Linked DNA regions of Kluyveromyces lactis. The protein of the gene in region 1 binds, or shares a complex with, the protein of each later gene. Links are inferred from orthologs where the notes say so. Each region holds a gene or a part of one and is shown in the gene's direction. Other genes may lie near its edges.

Region 1 (9,814 bases):
AGAAGGCTGCCATCGCCTTCGAACATGTGGGTATTTTCAAGTTCTTCAAAAATGATCCAATTACCGCGCATATTAACCTGGAAGAATCGTTGTCTTTGAACCCAAGACCTTCTACTTACATCTACATGGCTTTGATTATGGCTGACAAGGGTGAAGCCAACCAATACAAGGAATACTTTGACAAAGCTTTAGAATTAGATCCAAACTGCTCTGCTGTTTACTATCATCGCGGTCAAATGCATTTTGTTGTTGAAAACTTCAAAGAAGCTGGTGCCGATTTCGATAAGGCTAAGGAATTAAATCCAGAAAACATTTTTGCCTACATCCAATGTGCTTGCTTGGCTTTCCGTGACGATAGATTTGATGATTGTGAAACTTTGTTCAGCGAAGCCAGAAGAAAGTTCCCAACTGCTCCAGAAGTTCCAAACTTTTATGCCGAAATTTTGGCTGCTAAGAACTCTCTAGATGCTGCCATCAAGCAATACGATATTGCCATCAAGTTGGAAGATGCTTTACCAGGTATTCACGTCGGTATTGCTCCAATGATTGGTAAGGCCACTGCTTTGATTAGAAACCCAACCGTTGAAAACTTCGTTGAAGCTTCCGAATTATTTGAAGAAGCTTGTAAGATCGATCCAAGATCCGAACAAGCCAAGATCGGTCTTGCTCAACTAAAATTGCAACAAGAAGAAATTGATGATGCCATTCAATTGTTCGAAGATGCTGCCGATCTCTCAAGATCTTTCGATGAAAAACTACAAGCTACTACTTTCGCTGAGGCTACCAAGGTCCAGAAAAAGATCAGAGCTGATCCATTCATTAAGGGTAAGATCGACGAAGCTATTGCAGCCTACCGTGCTCAAGGTCTCGCGTAAATTAGCATGATATTCACGAATGAATTTAATTCATTTCAATATGAGTAAAGCTACAATAGCTCATTGTTTTTGTCTCACCTTAATGACCATAATGGCAACATACCATGCAACATCTAAACGAATGAATTACCAAGAAAGTTATGATTTTACAAACAAAAAGTTGTAGCATTTCACCCAAGTTATTTATGACTCGTAAGCAGCGTGAACTGTGTTAATCGTAAACGACAAGATCTCAACATTACAACGTGAAGAATAAGAAATAGTTATCAATTCTTCACAAAAACAAGACAAAAAGAAACACAGAAGAACAAGAATACGAGAACAACGCTTTTCAATAACAGCTCATTGCAAAATATGTGCTCCTAAATACCCCTGGTTCAAAAACATCATCTTCTACCATTTTGCTAGAAACAAATACGTCTTTCTGTATATACATGTATCTCCCCCATCTCACAATTTAATCAAATTGTAATTTTAAACACTTCGATAGTATATCACTACATACGTTTCAACATAAATGACATTTTTTGTTTTCTCTGAAAGAAGTGTATGTAATAAAAGTTTCTTGTGAGATTATGGCAAGGTACTGAGTGAAAGTGAGCTACAATTCAAGTACTTCATTGTTAACGGACTATAGCAGGATTTACCCCACCAGCGAACTACTTCAAATATGCTATCTTCTATCTTTGGTTCGATGATGAACTTTTCCGCTAGAACTGGACTTCTGGGATCTAAAACTAATGTTTCATCGCTCATCCTCACCAGAAACTTGATGAAAACACACAAAGGTGCCGCAAAAAGATGGAGAAAAACAGCCAATAGCTTCAAGAGGGGCAAGGCTGGAAGAAATCATGGTAATGCTGGATGGAGTAGGAACTCCCTTAAATCATTATCTGGCAGGTCATTAGCAGACTCCACACATATGCATCGTTTAAAGAGATTGCTTCCATACCATTAAGAGATGAAAGGCAATTAAAATAAGATATCGTTTCGATTTCAATCCTGTACATATAACAATGGCATCCCCATAATGAATGACACACCATTTCTTACCATGATTTTCAGTAAAGCATGTCATGAAAAATCAGCGGGTTACTATAATGGATAATTATCATTAATAAATACCTATATACAATTTGCAAACAACGGTAAAAAATGATTAATCATATATATAGTCAAATTAAGTCTCCGAGATATCATTCTCGATCCAACTACCTGTTTTTGGATTCTTTCTTAATTCTACCGTTGGGAAGTAGTGATAGTTTGTCTTTAAGGAAATGGCAAACGGAACATCGTCAAATGTCATTAAGCGTAACTTGCAGTATGTATTATCTGGGATTTCTTTAACAACCTTCAAGAATGTATCCAAATCAGGTGTTGATTGGTCATTGACGTGTGTGATAAAGTTGGTCACTTCTATTCCGTACTGTAACGCCAAAGAAGATGTACCACGAGAAACCGCATATACTTCACTAGGAATAGACGTTTTTACTTGACGCACGGCATGATGAGGAGCTTGTAGTACGCAACCTGCGAATACGACAATTCTAGTGGTTTCTTCAATTTGTACAGTTTTTATTTTCAAATCGATAACCTTCGCATCTCTTACAACCTTGAATAACAACTCAGATTCGATATCCGTATCGTCATCAGTCCCCACGACACCACCAATATCCCTCATTCTTTTTACCAGTTTCCCATTAACTGATAAGATAATATCACCAGGCTCGAGCCTTTCCTTTATTGTTGTATAGGAGTTTCTGGTGACACTGATGAATTGTAATCTGTTTTCTGATTCTTCTTCCATCATCTTAATCCATTCTTCAGGAACACCTCTGATTCTAGCCTGCAATAATGAGATGGAATCAAATCCTGCGTCCACAATAGAAACCTTAGGATTCTTACCAGCCCTGAGAATATCTACAACTTCTTTGATATCCACTACGTCTAAACCCATTAAATACAGTTTTTCCTTGTTACCCATGCAGGATAACCAGATTGCTCTCACTGTACCATCATCTGCCGCTAATATTCCTGATTTACATTTGGTGCTTATATTCGAATCAATGGAGATGACTTCTAGATTGGTTGCTCTATACCTAGGAATGATGTCGTTAGGAACACTCAGAGAAGAGATGCCATTGACTTTAGTCTTGGAACTGATTAAAGTGTTTGAGTACATGTAACCAATGAAATTAGTTTCGTCTCCTCTTTCAAGCCTTTCATTAGCTAGCACTGGTGTGCATACTGGGGCGTCAACTAAAGATGGATCATATTGAACAATAGCGTAATTTTGGGTAGGATGTAAGAATACAACTTTAGCAGGTACAAGAATGGATTCAGCGAACGAGACAAACGTGTTCAAACAGTCATGAGGAACAAAACTACGTGAAACAATAACATATCCCTTCTCAGCATCGAGTACTAAACCACATCCGTTTGTGGGTTCGGGTTCCATGGAGTCCATGGTGATAGCAATAACCGAATGTACAACACATAGACTATGTGACATTTTTGCAAGTTTTTTATTATCATTAATCGGTAGATCTAAAATCTTAGCTTTCTGTGGTTTTATTGGAAGTGGTGGTAATTTCTCAGTGATCTTTTCATAATCCCAAATACCTGTTTTGTCATTTCTAGTATAGATTCGGAACTCACTGCACCAATGACGGTCAATATAAACACTGGTTATTCTTTGTGTTTGAACATCTGTCAAGTTATGGAATTTCACGATTACTCTTTTTTCGTCAGGAATTGTTTTCATGACTTCTATAAAGTCGTCTAGAGTTGGTGTTTCTTTATTATCTACAAAATCAATAACCCATCCAGTTTTCTCCTTTGGATCCAAATCGAACGATCCAGTGGCACTTGCCACGAAAACGCCTTTTACAGGTAACGCATAGCATCTAGCCATTTGGTACGAAAGCTCATGGAAATTAGCACCACACACCTCGACATAACGTGAAGGAGTAATAATATGCAGGTCACCAACAGTGCATCTGAAGGAAATATCTTTGGAACCCCTTTGAACCACAATGATTATCTCATCTCCTACACTGCTATCTAGAATGTTATCAACTTGAATAAATGAACATATTGGTGTGCCATTAATAGAAATTAATGTGTCACCCTCTTGAACTTTATTATAAGCTGGTCCCTCTCTGAGAATAGCCTCAGCCACCAGCAAACCAGTTTTACCCGGGAACCTCTTACGAGCTTCCTTCTCACGATCTTCACTTAATCCAAGTCTTCTACATTCATCGAATGGTTTCAATACCCACTGAGTTTGGATAGTACCTCTGGTGATTGGTTTATCCGTTTGTACGCATTGTAGAGCTCTGACGACTCGATCAAGAGGCAAAAAGAAATCTGTAGAAGCCTCCGAAGAGCCACCGGCCTGTAAAGCGACCGCATACCCCTCTACAGTAATAACTGGAGAACCAGAAGAACCACCTGATGCAGCAGCAGCAGCTTGAATATATTCAGTATTAAAATCATTATACGTTAGCTCACCATAGTCTGGTGCATTTCTGTCAAGTCTACTGATGAACCCTGACAAGATACTCAATTTTTCACCAGCATCGTTACCAACAACACGGATTTCAGAACCAACCTTGGCCAAAGATGGTTTCAACTCTAGTGCAGTGACCTCGATATATTTCAACTTCGATGGATCAAACTTCAAGAACCCAAAATCATGAACTGGGTCGCGATAGATAGGGATGACATCACACTCTTCGTGATTGTCGAAAATGGCGTATCCGATGAATGGACCTGGACCCACAACGTGTCTGTTTGTTAAGATGATACCGAGTTTTGCATCAACAATGAAACCTGTTGCTTCCGACACCAAGGCAGCTTCTGAATCGAAAGGTGCGACTTGCGAGAAATGAATTGAGACCACCGACTTAACAACTTTGGAGATAGTTTCTTGCCATTTAGCGTTGTTATTGAATAAAGAGTTGCCTGAATCTATAGGTACATCGTTCACTTCATCATAGTCTTCTTCATAATCAATATCTTCGTCTACACTACTTGTGTTCTGATCGACGTCATTGTCGACCCTCTGTTTCTTGGATTCAAGATCAATGTCTTCAACAGATGATTCGAGTAGGTTTCGCTTCAACTCAACAGTCATTTCACCAGTTACTCGGTACGTACTTCGCAGTTGATTATTCGAAGAGTAATCCGATCTCCAGAGTTCTGACAGACGGTAATGTCTCTCTTCAATTCATCTCATCTGCGCTCTCTATGTTTAGTTATCTTCTTTTTTTTCATCTTGCCGTTCCCTTCGGTAAACGTCAACGTGAAAAATTCATTAGAAAGGTAATGAAAACGTATTGAATGATAAATGCGAAGATGGGGACGGTGAGAAGAAAGGTATCGGAGGAAACCATTCATGTGCCATCTCTTAGACTGAGGTCGACCATAATTCTTCGTTTCCAGTTTGAGTATTGCTCTTCTGATACGACTTCATATTCGTCTTGTAACATGCTGCCTATTCTGACGGCGATAGCGTTATCGAAATCCGATCCATCGTAATAATCGAACTTGACACGGAGTTCTCGGTACCATTTCTCACCGTCTATTAGTTCTTTTGTGATCTTGATAGCTTCCATGATATCTTCATCATTTGTTGTTCTCATTTGTGCCGCCATCTTCTTCATTAGCTTGTTATCGATTGTACTGTCCTGATTTCTCTGTTGGTTGAAGACAACGAACGAGCAAAGAAGTACCAGACCACAAACCAACTGTGTAGGATACGCTAGGTAAGTAGCGTTGTTATTGAATTCGGAAATTATGGTAGCTGTTACTTCTTCAGGAAGTTCAAATTCATTGCACAGAGTCACCAGTTCAGCGGTAGACGGTCTATAGTATTTTTTGTATAGCATGTTCCATTCGTTATACTTACCTCTTTTCTTTCTTGGTGAAGGCGTGTATTTAGAAGGGGAGTCACGAAAGGGTGACTGTCTTAATGGAGATTCAGGATCATCCTCAACTGATCCAAACACTTGTGGTATATTGATCATATCAGTCTTATTCTTCGGGGTTGCTAATATGGGCAACGGAAGGCCATTTTCTGTATCAGCTTCAAACACTAATTTCCTCCGGACACTTGACCTACTCCCTTTGCTAGGTGAAAGATCAACATTCTTCAAGGGCTGGATACCACTTTTAGTTCTTGATTTCGACGGAGTCTGGAATAGCTGTTCTTGTAACGACTTCGGATCTATCCCTGTGAATCTTGCATTTTTAACCGCTGACTTTCTAACCGATGGTGATGCAGTATCATCAAACTTCAGCAATTGTCCTTCGGTATCCTTTTGCGGCGAATGAGGCCATATGTTTCTCTTAAATATATTCACAAGTTTGGATACTTGGTCTGGTGGAAGCGGGATCTTCTCCTGAGAATATGGTAGGTCATTGTCATACTTCTCAGCTAGTTTCTGAAACGCAATCAGTGCACATATATGGCACCGAGCAAGTTCCTCTGAATTCTTCAGCATCACTTTCGATACTGAAACGTTGTATAATGTTGCTGTAGTAGAAGCCACTTTCTTTAACCGTTGGTCTTGCCAGTCAACATTAGAATCATTTTTGACCCCTAATAAATCGGTTACACACGTTCGTACTTGCTGCGTAGACATCTTAAATTATTTCCACGGATTCTTAGCACTCTAAAGTGACTAAAATAGGATCATCTACTCACTTGTTGTATTACACTGGCCCGGAAAAGACATATATCTCATCTCATCTCCATGGACCATTTTTAACATAATATTAAAAACAGTCTTTATGTAGCTTTTTGATCTTTTTCTGATTTTCTCGATTTTCTCCAATATTGAAACAAAATATGGTAAATAATGAAATTGAATATTAATCAAAAGTATCATTATTCGCTTCTCCATCTATAAGTTCAGTTTTGGCAATACTTCTAGTATTTCATCTAGCATAAGTTGCTATTCCAGCGTGTGTGTATATTTTAGTTCTCATGAGTGGGTACTATAATAGACAGTACTCTCATTTTCATGGGAATAATGATCGGTACCAAACCGGACGATATGCATATCAAGAAAATGGGAATAGGTACAAGGGCTTCCAACGGAATGGATCAGGGAACCGAAGATACTCCCGCGAGGGGTTTGGGTCTCAACTTAGGAATAATGAGAACGAATCTCGTCCAATACGGTCGCAGTCGCGTGGTATCAGCGAGATTCCTCGTAATCCCTTCGCAACGCGTCCAGTAGTGAGTGCGAAATACGATCGCGATGAGTTTAATACAAAATATCATTATTACGACATTGTAAGTAAACGACTACGAAATGAATCCAGCTTCAAGAAATGGAAATCTGAGAAGATTCCTGAGCATGGATATGTGACAACAACGGAGTTGATTGCATCGGATAAGCAAAAACCAATACTCATGGCCAGGCAGCCTGAACAAACTTCGGTGGATCCGAGAATACGTCCTATGAATGGGGATGCGGTCTCTGGGTCCATTTCTGCGAAAAAGAGATATAGAAAGCTTAGAAGTGCATTGGTACGCAACTCGCGAATTCCGTATGATTCTTTCTACATTGGTCCTGAACCTCCAAAAGAAATCATAGTATACCCTTCTGCATCTAACCAACAACCAATAGCAGCCGCATTATCTGAAGCAATAATCAAAAACTACTTTAAATCATTTGGTGAAATAGCGCATTTTGAACAGTTCATGGATCCAAATAGTGCATTGCCATTGTACGTCTATCTAATAAAATTCACTGGTCCAGTTTCTCAACCTGATGCTCCATATAAAGCTGCTTATAAGGCATCAGAGAAATTCAAAGACGCACCTTACACAGTATCAGGTATCAAGTTCAATGTCATTTTAAACCAAAATACAGTGTTAAATTCAATAAAGGACAAACTAATCAAACAGAACGCAGCCAGAGTGACAGAAGTGAATAAAGCGAAACGGGCCATTGCAGAGAAATCATCCGGGCAGAAACCTCAAGTAATAAGAGGAGTGCCATACGATTTAACTCAAGTTGTGAACAACAGACCAGTTTTGTTTGTTCCTGCAAAGATTACGTTTTATCATAGGTTCAATGCAGCAGATTTCAGATATCAACTTCGTAAGTACAATTGGGCCAAAATTATTGATCACTACACTGGCGTATATATTGTTTTTCATGATCTGGAAAATGCAAAAGCATGTTTAGAGTACGAATCAGGTGCCTTGGTCATAAATTCGCATAGGACTCACTCTCCCATACAAATAGAATTTACTTTCATTGAACCAAAGAGGAGACTTCAATCAAATATCACTAACCAAAGAGATATCAATAAACCTCGAAAGATAGAGTACTCAAGCACGGAAGAGCTATTAGAAGCCTCCACAAAACAAATTCTCAAAGATTTGCATAATATCATTAAGCGTGATATCTTGAGAAGGCTTGTAGGTCCAATTATATTTGATACGCTAAATCCTGCTAACTACCCGGAAGTTGTAGAAAGGCAGAAGAAACTGGACGATGAGAAGAAGAAGCGTGAGGAATCACAAAAGAAGACAACGATAAAGGCCAAACCCGCAGAATTTGATATTTTCAGTCTATACGGACCTGCGTCTAAAACAAAAAAGCTGAAAAGAGATAGGAAAGCTGATCTAGGCAAACGTCATTTATACACTGAAGAATCTCCTGATCATCAACGTAAAAAGAAACCTAAGGTGGAACATATGTCGCATTTGTTAAATGATGAAATTTCTACCAGAGAAGATACAGTGGATTCACTCAATGTTGGCTCAAACGGTGAAAACTCTCCGGAGTCATCTGGATATGAATCGGAAGATATTATTTCAGATGAGTCGAAGAAACAGTCTTCCGTGATAACAACACCGGAGGAAGACCTGCCCGAAAGCGCTGCATCTTTACCTGATGAAAGGTCCAAGGAATTACTACAGTATGAAGGGAAATACAAACCTATTGCATCAGAATTCCCAACCCCAGTATATCCTTATGATGACTTTGACTTGAATAAATCCAAGCAGCTTTCTCTCGATAAGTTCCAGCTTGCTTTGAAAGACGAAGAAGATTTCTCTATTCTCAAGGGCATTGTCTCAGAAAAATCAAAAGATATTACTACTGATTATACACCATTTTTGCCGTACTCAATGTGGAAGTTATACCAACAGATTGAACAAAATGGAATTATTCGGGATAACCAAATAGCTTTGAATGAAAAAGAATTTGATTCAACGTTAGCTTCAACGACTGGTAGTTTTATTGCTGATGGCTTTAAGAAAATTCCTGATAAACTGAAATCTTCATACCTTCTTCATCATCGGAGGTTGGCGCAACCTTTGAACACTGTTCATAATCATCAAGAACAGAATTTCATGGCTTTGAATGGAACAGAATCAACAAATCAAGAGGCTGACTTAGAGCAAGATAACCATAATGCATCCTCACGTTTGAACAGAGTTTTCCAAAGACGTTTCCAGCAAGATATAGAAGCGCAAAGAGCTGCAATTGGCTTTGAATCTGACCTATTATCATTAAACCAATTAACGAAAAGAAAGAAACCCGTCACTTTTGCAAGATCTGCAATTCACAATTGGGGCCTATATGCATTGGAACCTATAGCAGCCAAGGAAATGATTATTGAGTATGTTGGCGAATCAATTAGACAACCGGTCGCTGAAATGAGAGAGAAGAGATATATCAAGTCTGGAATTGGTTCAAGTTATTTATTCAGAATTGATGAAAATACAGTTATAGATGCTACAAAGAGGGGTGGTATCGCTAGGTTTATTAATCACTGTTGTGAACCTAGTTGTACGGCAAAAATCATCAAAGTCGATGGCCGAAAGAGGATCGTCATTTACGCGTTACGTGATATTGGTACCAATGAAGAACTAACGTACGATTATAAGTTTGAAAGGGAAACTGATGAAG
Region 2 (5,609 bases), on another chromosome or scaffold:
TTGGAAAATGAACTATGTGCCATCCTATACACAGACCAATACAAGGAACTCGTATCATTATTCGTTGCATTATTACAACAAAATGAATTATCTGAAAGAGCAATGGCAGTAACTGCCGCGGTGATTGAGACTGTACCAGCGTTATACACCGCATGGAACTACAGATTCGAGATTTGCATGTCCTTGTTCCGGAAAGAAGATGTATCCGCATGGGAGAAAGAATTGGATTGGCTCGATGAGTTCACCTTAAATAACCCGAAAAACTACCAGATTTGGTCGTACAGACAAGCGCTACTCTCAGAACATCCATCCCCCAAATTAGTGCGAGACCTTCCTATACTAGACGTGATGATCGATGACGATACAAAAAATTACCATGTATGGTCGTACCGCAAATGGTCCGTCCAATTCTTCAAAGATTGGTCCCATGAACTCGACTTTGTGAACAAGTACATCGATAGAGACGTGTATAACAACAGCGCCTGGACCCATAGAGCTTTTTATTTGAAGAACGTCGATCATGTTCAAGAGGAAGGAGTAGCAGAGGTGGAAATTCAATACTGTATGGATAAGATATTGTTGGCTCCACAAAACGTAAGCCCCTGGAACCATCTACGTTTTATTTATAAGTCATTCAAGAATAACGAATACGATTCCAAGTTGATTAATTTTGCTTCGTCCTTCATAGATAACGCCTTGGAGACATATACCGACCAAGAAGAAAGACCAATCTCCCATGTTAAGTCTTCTTTCGCATTGGAGCTCCTAGCTGATGTATATTCTCAAACAGACTCGGAAAAGTCCAAGATCGCATATCAGGCATTAGCAGACACTTGGGATCCTATAAGGAAAAACTACTGGAATTTAAAAATCAGACAATTAACTATATAGGATTGTATTATTAACATACAAGGATGCCTTGTCGCGCAAAGGGCTCCCACATCCAAGCTCACTTGGCTATCCTACCCGTCGGTACTACAGAAGTATCATATCATCTCTACCTTCACTGACACAAATCACGTTTCTTTCCCTCAACTAGACTGGAAAAAAATTGTTCCAAGGCCAAAAAGATTAAAGAAGAAGAAGCGATGAGATGAGACGAGGTAAAGTTTAATGAGTGGACGGGAATCGCCTCAGAGAGAGATATTAGTACCGGCAAGTATTCATAAATAATCAGCTACAATCATCTGCAATGGCGAATACTGAATCTGATATTACAAGAGTACTAGGTGGGATCTATGTTGGTGGTATTCAACCAATTGCGAACCATGTTCCACTGAAAGTGAATTATCAGATCACTCACATCCTATCAGTGATCAAATTTGAGATCATTCCAGAATACTTGGTCAGGAAGAGTTATACTTTGAAGAATATTCCTATTGACGATAATTTGAGTACAGATGTGTTGCAGTATTTCAATGAAACGAATAGATACATCGATTCATGCCTGTTTCCCGATGAGATAGAGCTTGACCGAGTGAAGGTTGATTTCAAAAAGAAGCCCCAAAAGGGTGCCATATATATACACTGCCAAGCAGGTGTATCCAGATCTGTTACGTTTGCAGTAGCGTATTTAATGTACAGATACGGGTTCAATTTGAAGACAGCTTTACATGCAGTGAAGAGGAAACGGAGCGTAGCTGAACCAAATGAGAACTTTATGGAGCAACTGAAGCTGTATGAAGCCATGGGTTCGAATATAGTGGATGTCGAGAATAAAGACTATAAACAATGGAAATTACAGAATTCCATTAAAACTGATCCCTTGGGAGCCAATATCATGGCTCAAAATGAAATGTATAAGTCTGAAGAAGTTGAAGCTGAAAAGGTAGCTAAGTTATCGAAAGAGGAAGTAGAAGATGTTTCTGCGATCCGTTGCAAAAAATGTAGGTTTAGACTTGCATTTTCCACTTCTTTCATTAAGCATGATCCTCCAAGTAAGGAATCAATGGAAGGTCATTTCATTAGGAGGGCCGCAGGATCTAGAAGAATTATTGATATTCAACAATCACAAGACCGTTGTTCGCACTATTTCGTGGAGCCTTTGGAATGGATGAAGAAAGAATTACAAAAGCAAGAGCTTGAAGGTAAATTTTTCTGTCCGAACTGTGATAGCAAGATCGGAGGTTACAATTGGAAAGGTTCTAGATGCAGTTGTGGTAAATGGATGATTCCGGCAATCCATATCCAAACAGCTAAAGTCGAACAAATAGCATTAACTAGGAAAGACCTACCTAATTTAGTATCGTTTGAAGAATAATGGTCTCTCAGTACTCGCATAAATATCATTCATAAAGGTTAGCATTTTTTATTTTATTTGTTTAATACATGTCATTCTTCTTTAATAGGCATTTAGGTGAGGCTAGATACTCGTGAACCTTGAGCACCGGAGTCTAGAGTATCAGATATGGTCAACGATGGCTGTTCATGGACCGAATCCTCATTTTCATTTACAAATGGCAGTGCATCCACATTTGAATGCCTGGATCTTGACCGGTTGGTATAACTTGTATCAATTAATTGTGAATCCTCAACAAACGTACCTCTCGTTCTGTCGAGCATAGATCCTTGTTCGTGAACTTCCGCATACTCGTTATCGTAATCATAACTTTGATCGTACTCTTCTTCAGATTGTTCACCAACTTGTGCTGTCAGCAGTACCGATTGTTCTGTATGTTGATGATTATGATTTGACACAATAAATGAAGAGGAAGTTTGGTAGGCATTAAGTATTGGTTCTTGCCCTGAATTGTGTTCATTTTGTTGCTTGTTCTGTTTACTTCCCTTCTCCTTTTCGATCTCTTTTAGGGTTTTATCAATGCCAATAGGTCGCAAACTTGAGTAGCCAAGAGATCTTATCAGCAATAGTGTCGATTTATCTAGAATGTTAATGGTATTGGAATCAGACACATCTCCGTCATTATTGGCAATTAAAGGTTTCTCACTATGGCAAGTATACGCCGCAAGAGGAATCAATCTCTTCCCAGGCTTGATCCGTCTCTTGGTATCTTTATCAATGTTCCAACTCACCGGTTTCCCTTTTCTGCTTGTCTTGCTTTGCAGAAGCTCTTTTCGTAGATTGTTTATCAAAGGAATGTTATTGAAATCGGATGGTGCAGAAGGTTGTCTGAAGGCATCAAGGCCATACATAAACTCTCCAAGCCCCATATCTTACTTGTAAAGCCTACTGTCTCCAAAAATATTTTGTGAACAGCCTCTTAATGTCTGTTATTGCCATTGACACAGTGGTGTTTAACAGGACACAAGTAAATCATGATTTAAAGGTTTTATTTTAAAAGAAATAGAAAAAGCATCAACAAAAATAAGGAGAGCTGTACTACTCACCAATTACCAGTAGTTAAACGCCGGCGTCTTGATGGCATTCACTCCAGTTATCTTATATTTGATATGAATTGATAGAAGACACTAAAAAGAACTGAATATTATATATTAGTATGTATGTTTGAATAAACGTTATTGGTGTAACTACAGGTTACGCTTTCTTTCCATATGATCCAAGAACTTGTCAAAAGGAGTCTGTTTCCTAAAATAAGCACTTCTTTCAGCCATGTTAGCCAACTTATCGAATAAGTATTCTCCCCAGTCAAGATACCGTTTAATATAATTCTTCAAGTCAGACATTTCATAAGCGACAACATAATTGTTACTTCTACGCAATCCAGCCAATACCATAGACAACAACGCTAAGTCAATACTGTAATGAACTATATCTTTAACCTGATTGGAATTTGATAAATGCAGTTAAGATTACCTTTTAGTTAGTAAATCAAAGTCCGTTGATGAAAACGGTGGTGTATCTAACCACCTTCTTCAAAAAAATGAACGGTACGTACACCCATGATTCTTATTACAAATCTCAAATATGTCAGTTCTTTATAAAGCCAGAGTAAGACCAGAAAGGCTCTATTTCTCTACCTGCAAGTGACTAACACTATTGATTTCTTTGACAGATGTCATTACAATTTCGAGGAACATTTAAATTTAAATAAAACTGTTAACACCATCAAGAAATATTACCAATTTGGAGACAAAAAGAGAAGCTCAACGGGACACCAGCGGTTTAGCAACAGTTCTGTGATTATCTAAAAGTTAGCTGAGAAAGGAAATATGACTGTTAGCATTTCCAAGAGCAATCTTCTACGATTTGAGCCTGTGAAGTCCTTCAGAGTTTCTGATAAAGAATTGGGACCTATAACTTCAGTGACATTTGATGACCATGGCCAGTACTTGTTGACTGCAACTGCTAGTGATAATATGCATCTATATGATGCAGTAAGTTGCAGGTTTTTGAATACCATCGCTTCTAAAAAATACGGATGTCATTCCGCAAAGTTTACACATGCGCAATCAGAATGTATCTATTCATCCACTATGAAATCGTTTGACATAAGGCATTTGAATCTTGAAACAAACACATACCTTAGATATTTCCAGGGCCATGGTGCTCTAGTGAGCGATATACAAATGTCCCCGTTGGATGATACTTTTTTGTCTGCATCGTATGACGAATCGGTAAGACTTTGGGATTTGAGAAGCTCCAAGGCACAGGCCCTTATACCAAGTTTAGTCCCCACATGCATTGCTTACGATCCAAGCGGGCTTGTGTTCGCCATTGGTAACCCTGAGAACCATGAAGTCGGTTTATATAACGTAAAACATTTGAAGGCGGGCCCATTTTTAGTTATAAATGTGGATCCAAGCTTTGATCAGTGGAATAAATTGGAGTTTTCAAACGATGGTAAATATTTGTTGCTTGCGTCGTCCGCTGGAAAACATTTGATCATGGATTCCTTCGATGGTACACAGTTATTTGAATTATCAGGAACTAAACCTTTCCCATTGAGAGAGTTCATGGATTCTGGATCCGCAACGTTCACTCCAGATGGACGCATTACATTGGGAACTGATTACACTGGGAAGATCGCGATATGGAACCACGCAGACTTCATCAGTGGTAGGACGCTCAAACCTCAAGGATTTATTAACGCCGCACCAAATACATGTCCCAGAACTATTGCATTCAATCCTAAATATAGCATGTTTGTCACTGCAGATGAAACTGTAGATTTCTACGTATATAACGAATGAATTATACTGGGATCTGGATATATGACTTCGAAGCCAGACTCTACCCAGAGCACCCATCTATTTAGGAATGGCACTCGACATCTCGATAACATTTCCATGTTACCGATGACACAAAGCTGCCTTTTAGGTCTGGTCATCGCGACATTTAATCTTCTTTCATCTTTCAAGAACCCAACCTCGAAATTCTCGTTACTTCTTACTAAAGATAGGATGATGCACTCCTTTTCTCTACCTTGAAATCCGTCTACGGTAGATATCTCAATTGCTTGATGCTTTTCATGGATGAGTTTTTTCAACAGCGATACTTGTGAATTATACGGGGAGATCACACCAATACTTTCTTCCGTAACACCAGCCTTTATCAACTGCTCAACGTGGTATAATGCCAAATATGCTTCATTTTCGTTGTATTTTGAAGAGACTAGGTGGAACTTATCGTCTGCATCGTTGTCATTTTCATCAGACCTTTCTGGAAAGTCGTCTCCCTCAGTATCTAACCA
Region 3 (5,089 bases), about 2.1 Mb from region 1:
TTTACCATCATTAAGAGCTTCCTTTTTGGGTTTGTATTTAGTATTCAGATAAAAACAGTCCTCAGAATCCTTTTTAAACATGTTCATTTGTAAAAACATTTCCATATTGCTGTCAATCTGAGGTATATTGTGCTTTGTTTCTGTCAAAGTGTTTTTTATTTGTTCAAGTGAAAGACGAGCACTGTTATTAAATAAGTGAAATATTGATGCTTGAAGTAGGTTAACGTGAAGTATCACTATTTCAGAAGAAATTCCATGTCTAAAGGGGCTTTTCAATTCCAGAAGATTTAGCTGACACTGGAGTGACATTGTTTTGTGATCATTCCTATCTAAAACCTTGTAGTACTCCCATTGTTTATTCACCATACCATTTAATGGTTCCGGTAGTATGAGTCCTGAAATTTCGGATGAATCCAACGAGTCCGAGATGTTAGATTGTTTAAGAATGACAGGAGTTATCTTTGGAGCTCTCTTCATTCTCAATGATTCAATTAGTTCGTCGTTTAGCTGCTGGAGTTCAAGAATGTGAACTGACTTCAACAGCCCACAGCAAAGTAGCTGTTGGTCGAATCTCTCGTTTGTTTTAATCAGCTGCTCGGAACCCCCCAATGACTTTAGTACCGACCGTAGAAAATATTTTCTCTTATATATGTTCCATAGTAACTCGTCTTGTTTTGAGTCTGGCGGAAAGATGTCGTTCATAAAAATGCAGCATGATCTAACCAGATCTTTAATCCCAGAAAATTGCCCTTCCTCAGAAACCTTACACAACCATCTGTCAACTTTTTCAATATTCTTTATGTCTGCATTAAAAGTCAATGTAATCATATTCTTCATTATTGCCTTTCGATTAGAATCAAAAGATTCGCTTGACATGGAATAGGTGGAGATGAAGGACGACAAATAGTCTTCGTCAAGCATTTTACATATAACTCGTACTACGAAGTTATCATATTCCTCACCTCGCCACGGGTAATAGGCATATATCATATCCCCTAGCTCTTCTATTATTGTTATTATCGTCATTTGATCATCCATACATCTATCGAAGAAATCCTCGAAGTATTTAAACTTCAATAAAAGAATATCCACAGTATTGATGCTTAAATTTTGACATAATATTTGATATTCGGAACAGTAGTATATGATTTGTTTTTGAAGACTGTCGACTCTTTTGAAGTGGTCAGAACTATAAGTAAAGGAGTTAATTATGCGATTAGTGGTTTCTTCAAAAAGCCCCAACACTGACGATTTATCAATTGGAATATCGTACCTGATAATGTTCTTGACCAAACTGAACTGGGATGTTGTACGTGATTCTAACGCTTCGACTATAAACGATTCGATAGTTTGTCGTAGTTGCGAGTGCAATCGATTTGCTATTCTTGAGAAAAAGACTAACGTTGCGTAGCCTTCTAATGATCGGCAGGAGATATTTTCCAAACTATTTGGAAGGTTCCGGAGAAAAGCCTTGGTGTAATATTGCAAAGAGTTCACCTTGCCCTGTATCTTTTTGTAAGCATCTTCTAACTCACATAAGTTTGTTAACCATTCTATATTCGTGAAATCTTCCTCGTCCACCTGTTCATTTATCAATTTGCTAAGAAGTGACCAGAGATCTTCAACAAACGTGTCCTTAAAGACAGCAGCATATTGACTTGAATTACTGGAAGCCTTAGCAAGCCTCGGTACTTTACATCTAATCAATTTTTGCAAAGTGAAATATATCTTTTCATCGTGTTTAAGGTCATCTCCTGGGATTTGATATTGTCTAAGCAGCAGTTCGAGCTCAGATAACAGAGAATCGTACAGAACTTTTGAGCTTTTGATTCGTTCGGGAACCAATAACGGCATGTCACATTGACTGTACGTTGAGGGTGGAACCTTTATGCGATACATACTGTCCCATAACAATTGAAATACTAAGTGTTATATGATCCTACGTACTTGCCCAATACTATATCAAAAAGACATACGAGTCACGTGCCAGGTAAAGGAAGTACATTGTGTTGGCTACGTAACTAGCAGCCAATGACGTAACAGTAGAAGTTTTGGTATACTGAGCTCATGGTATTGTGAAAATATTATTCACCAGAAGTTTACTGTTAGGTTTGAATCCAAGATTAAGTGCAAATATGCCATCTTCTTTCCTGATCAAGAGTCCGTGCTTGACTAAGGATGATAAATAATGGCTGAACATTGCTTGGTTGCGAACGGAAAGAGCACTAATCATTTCATCTAGCGACCAGCTTAGTTTTTTATTGAACAATGTATCAAGAATGACAGCATGACATAAATTGAAGTTTATGGATATGTTGGTTTTTTGAAAAATTGTAGGTTTCATGATGACTCTATGTAGATGCGGTTGATCATAAAAGTGTACATTAATACCATCACTTGTAATCCGTGGTTCGTGTTTGTTAACCCATTTTCCTGGCAGATTAAAAGGAAGTTTTGCCGAATTTTCTGAGTAAATATTAGGAAATATTTTTGCTGGTAAGATGATATCGTTCTTCCTATTGTTTCTCGTTATCTTTAATGACAAATGACTGAACATCCTGTTAATATTATTTAGTGTCCCAGCATCCTGCTGCATTACTATGTAAAAGCGAGCGAGGGGAGCGTCAAGTTCTAGTTTCTTGCCAACTAAAATAGATTTGACTAGATCTATGGTTAGATTATCTCGAATGATTTCTTTTATAACGTATTGCTCAAAATACGAAGCAGAAAATGGTTGAAATTGTCGAGTGTTCTTCAAGAATACTCCTATTTTCGTTAGCCATCTTCTTTCTTTTTCAGTCATGTTGTATGCTTTTTTACCCAACACATCTCCAATGTTGGTAGTGCCTGGAAAATAAGTAAGAATGTGTTTCACCATCAGTCTCATGAATTTAATAGTATTTTTAGAGTCCAATTCAAATGCGTATTGGCGGCTCATTATAGGCTTGCGCTGTTGAAGAATGAAATCCATCATTCGGATCAAGAGGCGGTGGTAATTAGGCCCAACCTCAGTCAAATCTTGTACCCACTTCGTAGTAATTTCGAGGTTAGCAGATAGTATATCCTTTTCGGTCAAAACACTTTGTAAACCACATATATTATAGCTGATACGCTGAGAATTGAGCGGTTGTGATGAACCGAGTTTCTGTGAGATCGAAGCTTTGTAGAAATCAACGTCAGCAAATACAGCAAAAAAACCGGCACGAGTCACTGCAAAAACTTCTTCGGGATATATTTGGAGAGTCACGTTGTGCAAATAATTCATGAAGGTATAAGCTTCCGCTTCAAAGTCCTTAATATCTGACTGTACTTGCAATTGGGTTTTGAAGGTTAATACCAAGCCCTCGAGAATAGATAAGATAAATCGTGGATTAACATCGTTGTTCTTAGGTAGGGATATCGGATCCAAAAAATGATGATAATGTGAATCAAATCCTAAGTCTGAAAATAACTTGCAAACCTCATAAAACTGGTCATTCGATATGGATCTTGTCTCAACCTCAATTTCAAACCCTCTTCTAATTAGATCGTTCAACTCAGAATATAATTTATATCCAACAATGGTGACCAGCCATTGTACGAGAAGTGAGTAATGTCGTATATTTAACCCGAGTTTGTGTAGTGCTCGCTCTAAAGGTAAGAAAAGAGGCTGTATTTTCCTTAGTTGAAGTTTTATTGTTAGGATGTGTTTTGCCAAGCTCCCAATAGTCAATGGACTTTCAATAGTGTTAGTCATATGCTGCATTTCATTGTCAAAGCTTTGTAAGAAACCTCTTGTGACATCGAGTAAACGGTTCTTATTGTCGTCCAATCCATTAGCATCCGAGTACCTTAGTTGGTCAATCCATCGTGTAAGTCGTTTATTCACATCTTTTAACTCATCCTCTGATTTATTCACTAAATTACCGTAGGTGAACCATGTTAGCTCTTTTCCGTTTCGAATATTCATGGGAAGTTAATAGTTCATATCTTTCAGGTGTCATACACAGGGCTCAACGTATAACAAGAAGCTCTATTGCTCCTGCCACTTCTTTGTTGAAGTGCATCTTGAATGGAGGTTTGACTATTGAACTATCTTGTCTTGGCCAAAAAACTGGAAATTTTGGCGATTTTGCAGACCTTTTCTTTGCAATTCAGTGTAAGAAATTGCTACCTTGGTCTGGTATTGATGGTTTCACAATCACCTAAGGGTAGTACACGGCATGAATAGTAATGGTAACGATTTGAAAGAAGAGTCTTTAGATCCTGCCAAATATTTGGCGGAAACTTTTAAGAAGGAGGGTCATTTAGACAGTTTAAAGAATGAAATACTATCTCAAAATGTAGAGGGTGATATTAGCTTGGACGAATTCATAAAGAGCCGAGTAAGGGATTTAGTTCGTGATAGGGTAAATGAAGATGAGTCTTTAATTTTCAAGAACAGAGGTACCACGACTGCTCTTCTTGAGGGCCAATTATTTAAAGACGGATTCAAGAGTTTAAACACGTCAAATATCGATGTGGAGAAGCTTCTGAGTGATTCACTTGACGATGCGACGACGAGACAAAAGATAAGAACTATCCTTGAAGCCAAAACTAATGATAGTTGATTGAACAGATAAAGTAGCAAGGCTGCTACATATATATTTTACTTCGTTAACTAATGTAATATAATAGGTCATCGCAACGGCGACTCTTAAATTTTCTACCGGCTCTATCAACACTTCTATATTTAAATCTATCACCAAGAATTGTATAGGCTAAAGATTCTTCTTCATTGATTGGAATCTCGAAATCGAAAGTTGTTCCTTTCTTCGGTATGCTTTTCAATTCATCGACTAATCCGCCTTTCGTTATGATTATGAATGTCTTTTGAGCATCCCATATTACAATACCATTTTTCCCAGTTAATGACTTGTTTTTGGATTTAGATACCTTCAACTTACACCCGTTATAATCAGCCATAGAGAGCTTGATCAAAGTTTGCTGAGAGTTCAAAGGTAATGGATTTCCAACTTTGTGATTATCTGGGATGTTCAACAATTCTTTCATGTATGGACACCATATATCTTCGAACATGGAGGAGAAAGTTTCAAAATTCGGCAGTTGC
Region 4 (5,513 bases), on another chromosome or scaffold:
AAAATCTGGAGCAGCCACCGACGATGAAGCAAATGCTGAAGCGGGGGTTGTGGCAGATGAAAAGATTAAGTCTTTGGAGATTGATAAACCTATACATATGCATGAACATCATTTCAAAGAATCTTCGGGTTCTAGTAATGGAACTGGCTCCGAGCATGGAGCCAATCCATCTTCGACTAGCGGTACACAGGATGAGAATGGCAATGAGTTGATGTTAGATGTTGTCTACACCAGATGCTGCCATTTGCGTGAAATTCTTCCGATTCCTTCTACCTTGAGACAATTAAAGGAGAAAAAGGCACCTTTGCAAACATTAAAGTTTTTGAACCCAAGGCCCACTCTTATTGATATATTGTCCTTCTCTGATTTTATTGCTATTGTCCCTATCCACAACGTTGTCTTTGATAACGTCGGCCTAAGTCCTGAAATGTTTAAGATAGTCATATCTTCATTAGTTAAAAGCATCACCCTTGAAAGACTATCGATGAGAAATGTTGTTTTCGATGAGCGTGGATGGAAACTATTGTGTAAATTCTTGATGAGAAATAAATCATTGACGAAATTAGACATCTCGCAGACCAAAATCAGACATGATCTAGATCTTAAATTACACAGGTCTCAAATGGATTGGTCTTTATTCATTGATGTCTTGCACAAGAGACAAGGTAAACCACTAGAAGAGCTACTCCTCAATGGTGTTTCTTTTGCCAATAACTTGCACACTTTCGAAAATATGATAAACGCGTTTTCCTCAACTAAGAACGAATTTTCAAGGAAACGTAAGTTGGGTCTCGCTCAATCTCAGATAGCTTCCTCAGAACAGTTAGAAATTCTATTTAGATGGATGTCTGAAAATGATATCATCGGTGTTGATTTGGCATTTAATGACTTCGAAAATTTGACAAAACCAATTATCAAAGAGCTTTCGCAACGCAGCTTCGACTCATTACAATACTTCACATTGAATTCAACAAACATTCAATCGGTGCAAGAGGCTGCATTGATTATAAGGGAACTATCAAAATTACCGAAACTTTATTTCTTAGATCTATCGGGATTGCCTTCATTATTCCCTGCAATCTTTCCTTATTTGAACAAATATCTACCGCGTTTCCCTTCTCTAAAAAGATTACATTTTGATTCTAATGAATGGACCTATAAGGACATTTCTCTTGTAACACAGATTTTACCCAAGTGTAAAGAGCTTTTACATGTTTCAATGATGAACCAACCACAAGAATCATGGGCAATGAGTGCAGCTGTATTTCTATATGATTGTATCAAGAATAGCGATAAGTTGATTAACTTGGACTTCAACTACGAGAACATTCCAGAGGAAATCAATTCAAGAATAGCAATAGCATTAGTTAGAAACGCGCAGAAGTCAATTGACTCTAATTGGCAATTGGACGAACTTTCATCGCAGGACGATTTACTTTTCGATGGTGAACTAATCAGTGAAACAGCCGGTAATATTTTAGATAAGCTCAATGACTCTGCTAAGCTTCAAGAAGATTCGACGAAAAGGTATTTACTCAAGCGTTATTGGGAAAAAATCCACACGATTCATGCCAATGTTCAAAAAACCATAGACAGCATGTTCGAACAAAGAATTTCAAAAGAATTGTCATTACAGAGCAAAGAAAATTTATTAAGACTTATTTTCATGGAAAATACCTTAGGAAATATCCTAGAATACTTGTCCACTAATCCGTATATCCAGGAATTAAATTATGCCAAGAATAAAGATGATGATAATTATTCTTCTAGTGATGAGAGACCAGTACTGAAGCATGTTGACTCCGAAAGAATAATGTATGCGAAACCACTTGTCGATCCTATTGACCAGGACATTGATCAAGAGCTAGAACACGAGCAAGATTCGAACAGTGCTAAACCCCATCTGATGGCTACTGATTCTGGTAGGACCATTGATGTGACTACAGGTAGGCCGATCTTAACGAAGACAAGTTCTCAACGTTCTATTTTCGGTAAAAAGCAAGAAGAGGAAGAAGGTGAATTGCACAAATGGGGGTTCTTCGTTCAACAACAGCGATCCATATACCCAGAAAACACGCCTATGTCTAAGTATCAACAACAGCAACAGCATAAGCATGCACAAAGGAAGGAACCACAATTGTCACAAATCGTTGAAAAACCACGAGAACAAGTGCAGACTTCACAGAAAACCGGGCAGCCTGCAGCTACACCGACTGCATCTACCCCTCCAACTTCTTCAAATTCCATTCCTGCTCTGTCTAAATCCGCGGCATCTGCAAAGCTCATTGGGAAGATTCCATCTGGTACGGAACTTCGTGAGGCTATCATCAAAGCGAAAGGTATCAATTCCATTGAAGACTTGATTGATAATGTTAATTGTCAACAAGTCAAGTTGGATAATATTTATGGTATCCAAGTTGAACCACCTGCTGATGCAAAGCCATTAGTTTTATCACCTGGAGGAAGACCGGACGGGAACGTGAGTCATGATGAGAGACACTCCGCGCAGGAAAATGGATTCCCATCTGAAAGTGAAGATAGTTATGTCGAAGATGAAACCACCACCGAACAACTCAACGTTGACGAGACATATGACAAGTTGTTGAACAATTTGAGTCGTGTTCGTTCTAACAGAGGATAAATAAATATTTTTGCATAAACAAAAGTACATATGGACGTGCCACACACACAATAAATAAAACTAGGTACAGGAAGACCAAAACAAGCGCCATGGTGAATAAAATTAACGATGAACGGTGTATCACTGGCAGGAAGTAAAGCATACATTTTCATGATAATGACAATGTTCTTAGGATTGGTCTATAATATTTGTCCATTCCGAATACGATCTCTGATCCCAATCTGCTTATTCCAATATATCCGGTACAAATAAGCAGCAATATGAAGTTCATTATTCTTTTACGAGTCTTTAGACTACGGACATGCATATATTGAACGGTTCCAGCGATAATATGATACGATCCTAAACCAATAAGAGCAACCAAGGGGCCATATCCGAGACCTATCCTCACCAAAGCACCTCTGTCTTTATCTAGTAGCCATTTGACAAAATCAAAGTCTATATCAACTTTCGCCGTATTTGGCAGCCATTTCATGAGGGCACCATGAAAGAATAATACTGGAGTTAACAACCATCCTGTAAGCTCTTGTGGATTATATTGAAGGTTTCTCTTGATCCCAATAAAGTACCCACTTAAACCACCTACAAGACCAATTCTAGATTGTGCAAGTGACTGAGTATCCAGCAAGGATTCGGCATTATGTGTTTTCGAAGAAGTAGGCAGCTTCCTCATTATTCTCAAGGCAAATCCGGATAATATATGTATTGATATCCCAGTCCAAATCAACTTAGATCCAAGTCCAGATGTGAGTTCTCTAACCATCATTAAAGCATCGTTTGGAAAAGAGGAGGGCTCAAGAGCAGGAATTATTAGGGCATTGATACCGTGTAACGGAAAGTACGTTACTAGAGGGAATAAAGACCATTTTTGCGTCCACCTTAGCCATTTCTTAATATTCAACACTAAATTGACGCTGGCATCCTCGGGGGTTTTTGCTAAATCGGGGTCGATGTGTTTGGTCGGAATGGGCTTCAACGGTGTCAATTTCGCAGCAGTCATGAAGTTTATCAATTATAAGTCAGCGAATCACGCACTTGTTCATATACTCAAAGGGCAAGTGATATTTCTGAGAATCTTGGTATATCTGTTTCTTAATTTGATGTTGGCTTATTCATTACATTCCATCTTTACACATTGCATCAGAAAAGGAATATTAAAATGTAAAAACCATTACACGAATCGATGAAGGTAAAATAAACAGAGAAATAACACAAATATGGCCTGTGAAGGGTACATGAATGGTTGCATTTGAATATTACAAAGAATATACTTCATTTTTTCTGCCTAGATATTTATCATCATAAGATAACTCCAGTATAGGATTGAATTTACAGTATTCACGATGTCATTACCTAGTTGGTGCCCCAGGTATGACAGCAGGAAACACGACCCAAAAACTGGGGAAGAAGTTTATTGTATATGTAAGAAACCAGACACTGGGGAGTTGATGGTAGGATGTGATGGATGTGATGATTGGTTTCATTTTTCCTGTTTAAAGATCCCCGAGAAATATAGAGATCTCGTTTTTTCATTCTACTGTTCGTATTGTAGTGCTGGAATTACAGGACCGGCATTGATAAATGGCGGCAAACTACCGAAAACTCTTTGGAAGAGGAAATGCAGGCTCCCTGAATGCTATACAGAGTGTGATGCCAATTCAAGAAGCAAATATTGTTCAAAGAAACATGCTGTTCAATACGTTCAAAGCATTGTTGATAAGTTAAATCTACCTGGCGTAGATAAGATTGCATTGTTGAGACAGCTTCTAAACGAGACAACATCATTGGAGGAATTTAAAACGCTAGGACGAGACAAGCTTCCAGAAGTCACGTCACCTTTATCCAAAGATCAATATTCCAAGTTGCTAGAAAATGATCAGCATTTAAACAAATTAATTAACGAACACGATGAGTTGGTTTCGGTCAAGCTTTCAAAACTAAATGAAGAAGATGCAGTAATAGAGAAATACGTCAACTGGATCGGTGAAGTTAACGAGAGATTATCCCCACATTTCAATCAGCCTACAGGTCGAAAGAAGTCGAAAAGTGCAAGTAAAGTTACAATATGCGGCTACCATAATGAGTTCACGATCCCTCGGTCAGTTGAGGAGTTTTTAGATAAGCTACTTCAGTTGAAAGAAGACGAAAACAGTAATATCACATCAGTTGACGGTGTTTGTGTAAAGACAAAATGTGCTAAGCATCAGGATTGGATTACATTGTCCCAAAACGATCTCTCGGAACAGAAGGACTCTCTAGAAAACGTCAAAAGAAGACTCGATTTACTAATTAGCGTCAGAACGAACCAATTGAGAATCTCATTCTTCGAACAAGAGATGTCCAATCGCGTCCTACCCGGTGTTAAGACCTAGCTCATATCTAATGTGTCACTTTTCTGTCATTACAATGAAGGCGAAACGCTTATATTTAACTTGTAGCATCAACTAGCAAGAAAAGCATGTATAAATAATTTAACCTAATACAAACATCAGGTTTTTCATATGCTTCTAGTCCAATAATTGAACGTATATAAGCTTTATCCTATCGTAAACCTAATTCATCTAATCGTCACATAGTTAAAGTCACTTACCATGTTATTCATTCTATGAGAAAACAATATAAAAATGAAAAACCAATGAGCTCAATATCACCATTAAGGTCTGGTTGTTTTACGAAATATAAAGGGGCAGGACAAAAGATAGCAGACATACCTTATAATTGTATCTCCTATTAGGAACCTCTATTCTCTCGCTGTAAGTTTCAAAGATATTGGTTTTGTGGTAAGCGTTTGGAGGAAGCTTTTAAACACATAAACTTACAAACAAAATATGGCAACAGATATCAGAACAAACAAGGTTAAGAACGAAGAGTT

Evidence for each region. Proteins that work in one complex are often made in the same cells at the same time.
Region 2: SET1 (region 1) and SWD2 share a complex: the UniProt entries of both Saccharomyces cerevisiae proteins name them as parts of the set1C/COMPASS complex. The link is inferred for Kluyveromyces lactis from reciprocal best matches to the Saccharomyces cerevisiae genes SET1 and SWD2.
Region 3: SET1 (region 1) and SHG1 share a complex: the UniProt entries of both Saccharomyces cerevisiae proteins name them as parts of the set1C/COMPASS complex. The link is inferred for Kluyveromyces lactis from reciprocal best matches to the Saccharomyces cerevisiae genes SET1 and SHG1.
Region 4: the proteins of SET1 (region 1) and SPP1 are in contact, whole or in part, in a cryo-EM structure (PDB 6BX3), measured with the Saccharomyces cerevisiae proteins. The link is inferred for Kluyveromyces lactis from reciprocal best matches to the Saccharomyces cerevisiae genes SET1 and SPP1. Residues at the interface, in NP_011987.1 of Saccharomyces cerevisiae: Ile800, Trp801, Gln802, Ser803, Arg804, Arg805, Leu808, Glu810, Glu811; in NP_015187.1 of Saccharomyces cerevisiae: Asp134, Ala136, Val137, Val166, Asp169, Asp170, Gln177, Ile178, Val180, Leu185, Thr187, Tyr345, Ile348, Leu349.

What each region holds. Positions count from the first base shown.
Region 1 is NC_006042.1:2,241,394-2,251,207, forward strand, and holds the start of SET1 (histone methyltransferase SET1), read left to right. Parts: upstream 1-6,867; coding exon 6,868-9,814. Other genes in the region: protein channel TOM70, read left to right, coding at 1-875; MRP35 (mitochondrial 54S ribosomal protein bL35m), read left to right, coding at 1,546-1,833; NMA111 (Nma111p), read right to left, coding at 2,056-5,013; ORC6 (origin recognition complex subunit 6), read right to left, coding at 5,273-6,523. UniProt on the Saccharomyces cerevisiae protein: Catalytic component of the COMPASS (Set1C) complex that specifically mono-, di- and trimethylates histone H3 to form H3K4me1/2/3.
Region 2 is NC_006041.1:1,604,243-1,609,851, forward strand, and holds SWD2 (WD-repeat containing protein SWD2), read left to right. Parts: upstream 1-4,128; coding exon 4,129-5,109; downstream 5,110-5,609. Other genes in the region: RAM2 (bifunctional protein farnesyltransferase/protein geranylgeranyltransferase), read left to right, coding at 1-891; tyrosine protein phosphatase YVH1, read left to right, coding at 1,193-2,260; MND2 (Mnd2p), read right to left, coding at 2,353-3,168; MCO12 (Mco12p), read right to left, coding at 3,487-3,738, 3,855-3,860; ATP-dependent 5'-3' DNA helicase HCS1, read right to left, coding at 5,091-5,609. UniProt on the Saccharomyces cerevisiae protein: The COMPASS (Set1C) complex specifically mono-, di- and trimethylates histone H3 to form H3K4me1/2/3, which subsequently plays a role in telomere length maintenance and transcription elongation regulation. Involved in mediating RNA polymerase II termination.
Region 3 is NC_006042.1:193,497-198,585, forward strand, and holds SHG1 (Shg1p), read left to right. Parts: upstream 1-4,202; coding exon 4,203-4,589; downstream 4,590-5,089. Other genes in the region: cullin RTT101, read right to left, coding at 1-1,899; KLLA0_F02167g (uncharacterized protein), read right to left, coding at 2,066-3,949; POP4 (RNase P/RNase MRP complex subunit), read right to left, coding at 4,636-5,089. UniProt on the Saccharomyces cerevisiae protein: The COMPASS (Set1C) complex specifically mono-, di- and trimethylates histone H3 to form H3K4me1/2/3, which subsequently plays a role in telomere length maintenance and transcription elongation regulation.
Region 4 is NC_006040.1:615,646-621,158, forward strand, and holds SPP1 (Spp1p), read left to right. Parts: upstream 1-3,984; coding exon 3,985-5,013; downstream 5,014-5,513. Other genes in the region: HER1 (Her1p), read left to right, coding at 1-2,641; MCP1 (Mcp1p), read right to left, coding at 2,790-3,641; KLLA0_D07282g (uncharacterized protein), read left to right, coding at 5,470-5,513. UniProt on the Saccharomyces cerevisiae protein: Component of the Set1C/COMPASS complex that specifically mono-, di- and trimethylates histone H3 to form H3K4me1/2/3, which subsequently plays a role in telomere length maintenance and transcription elongation regulation.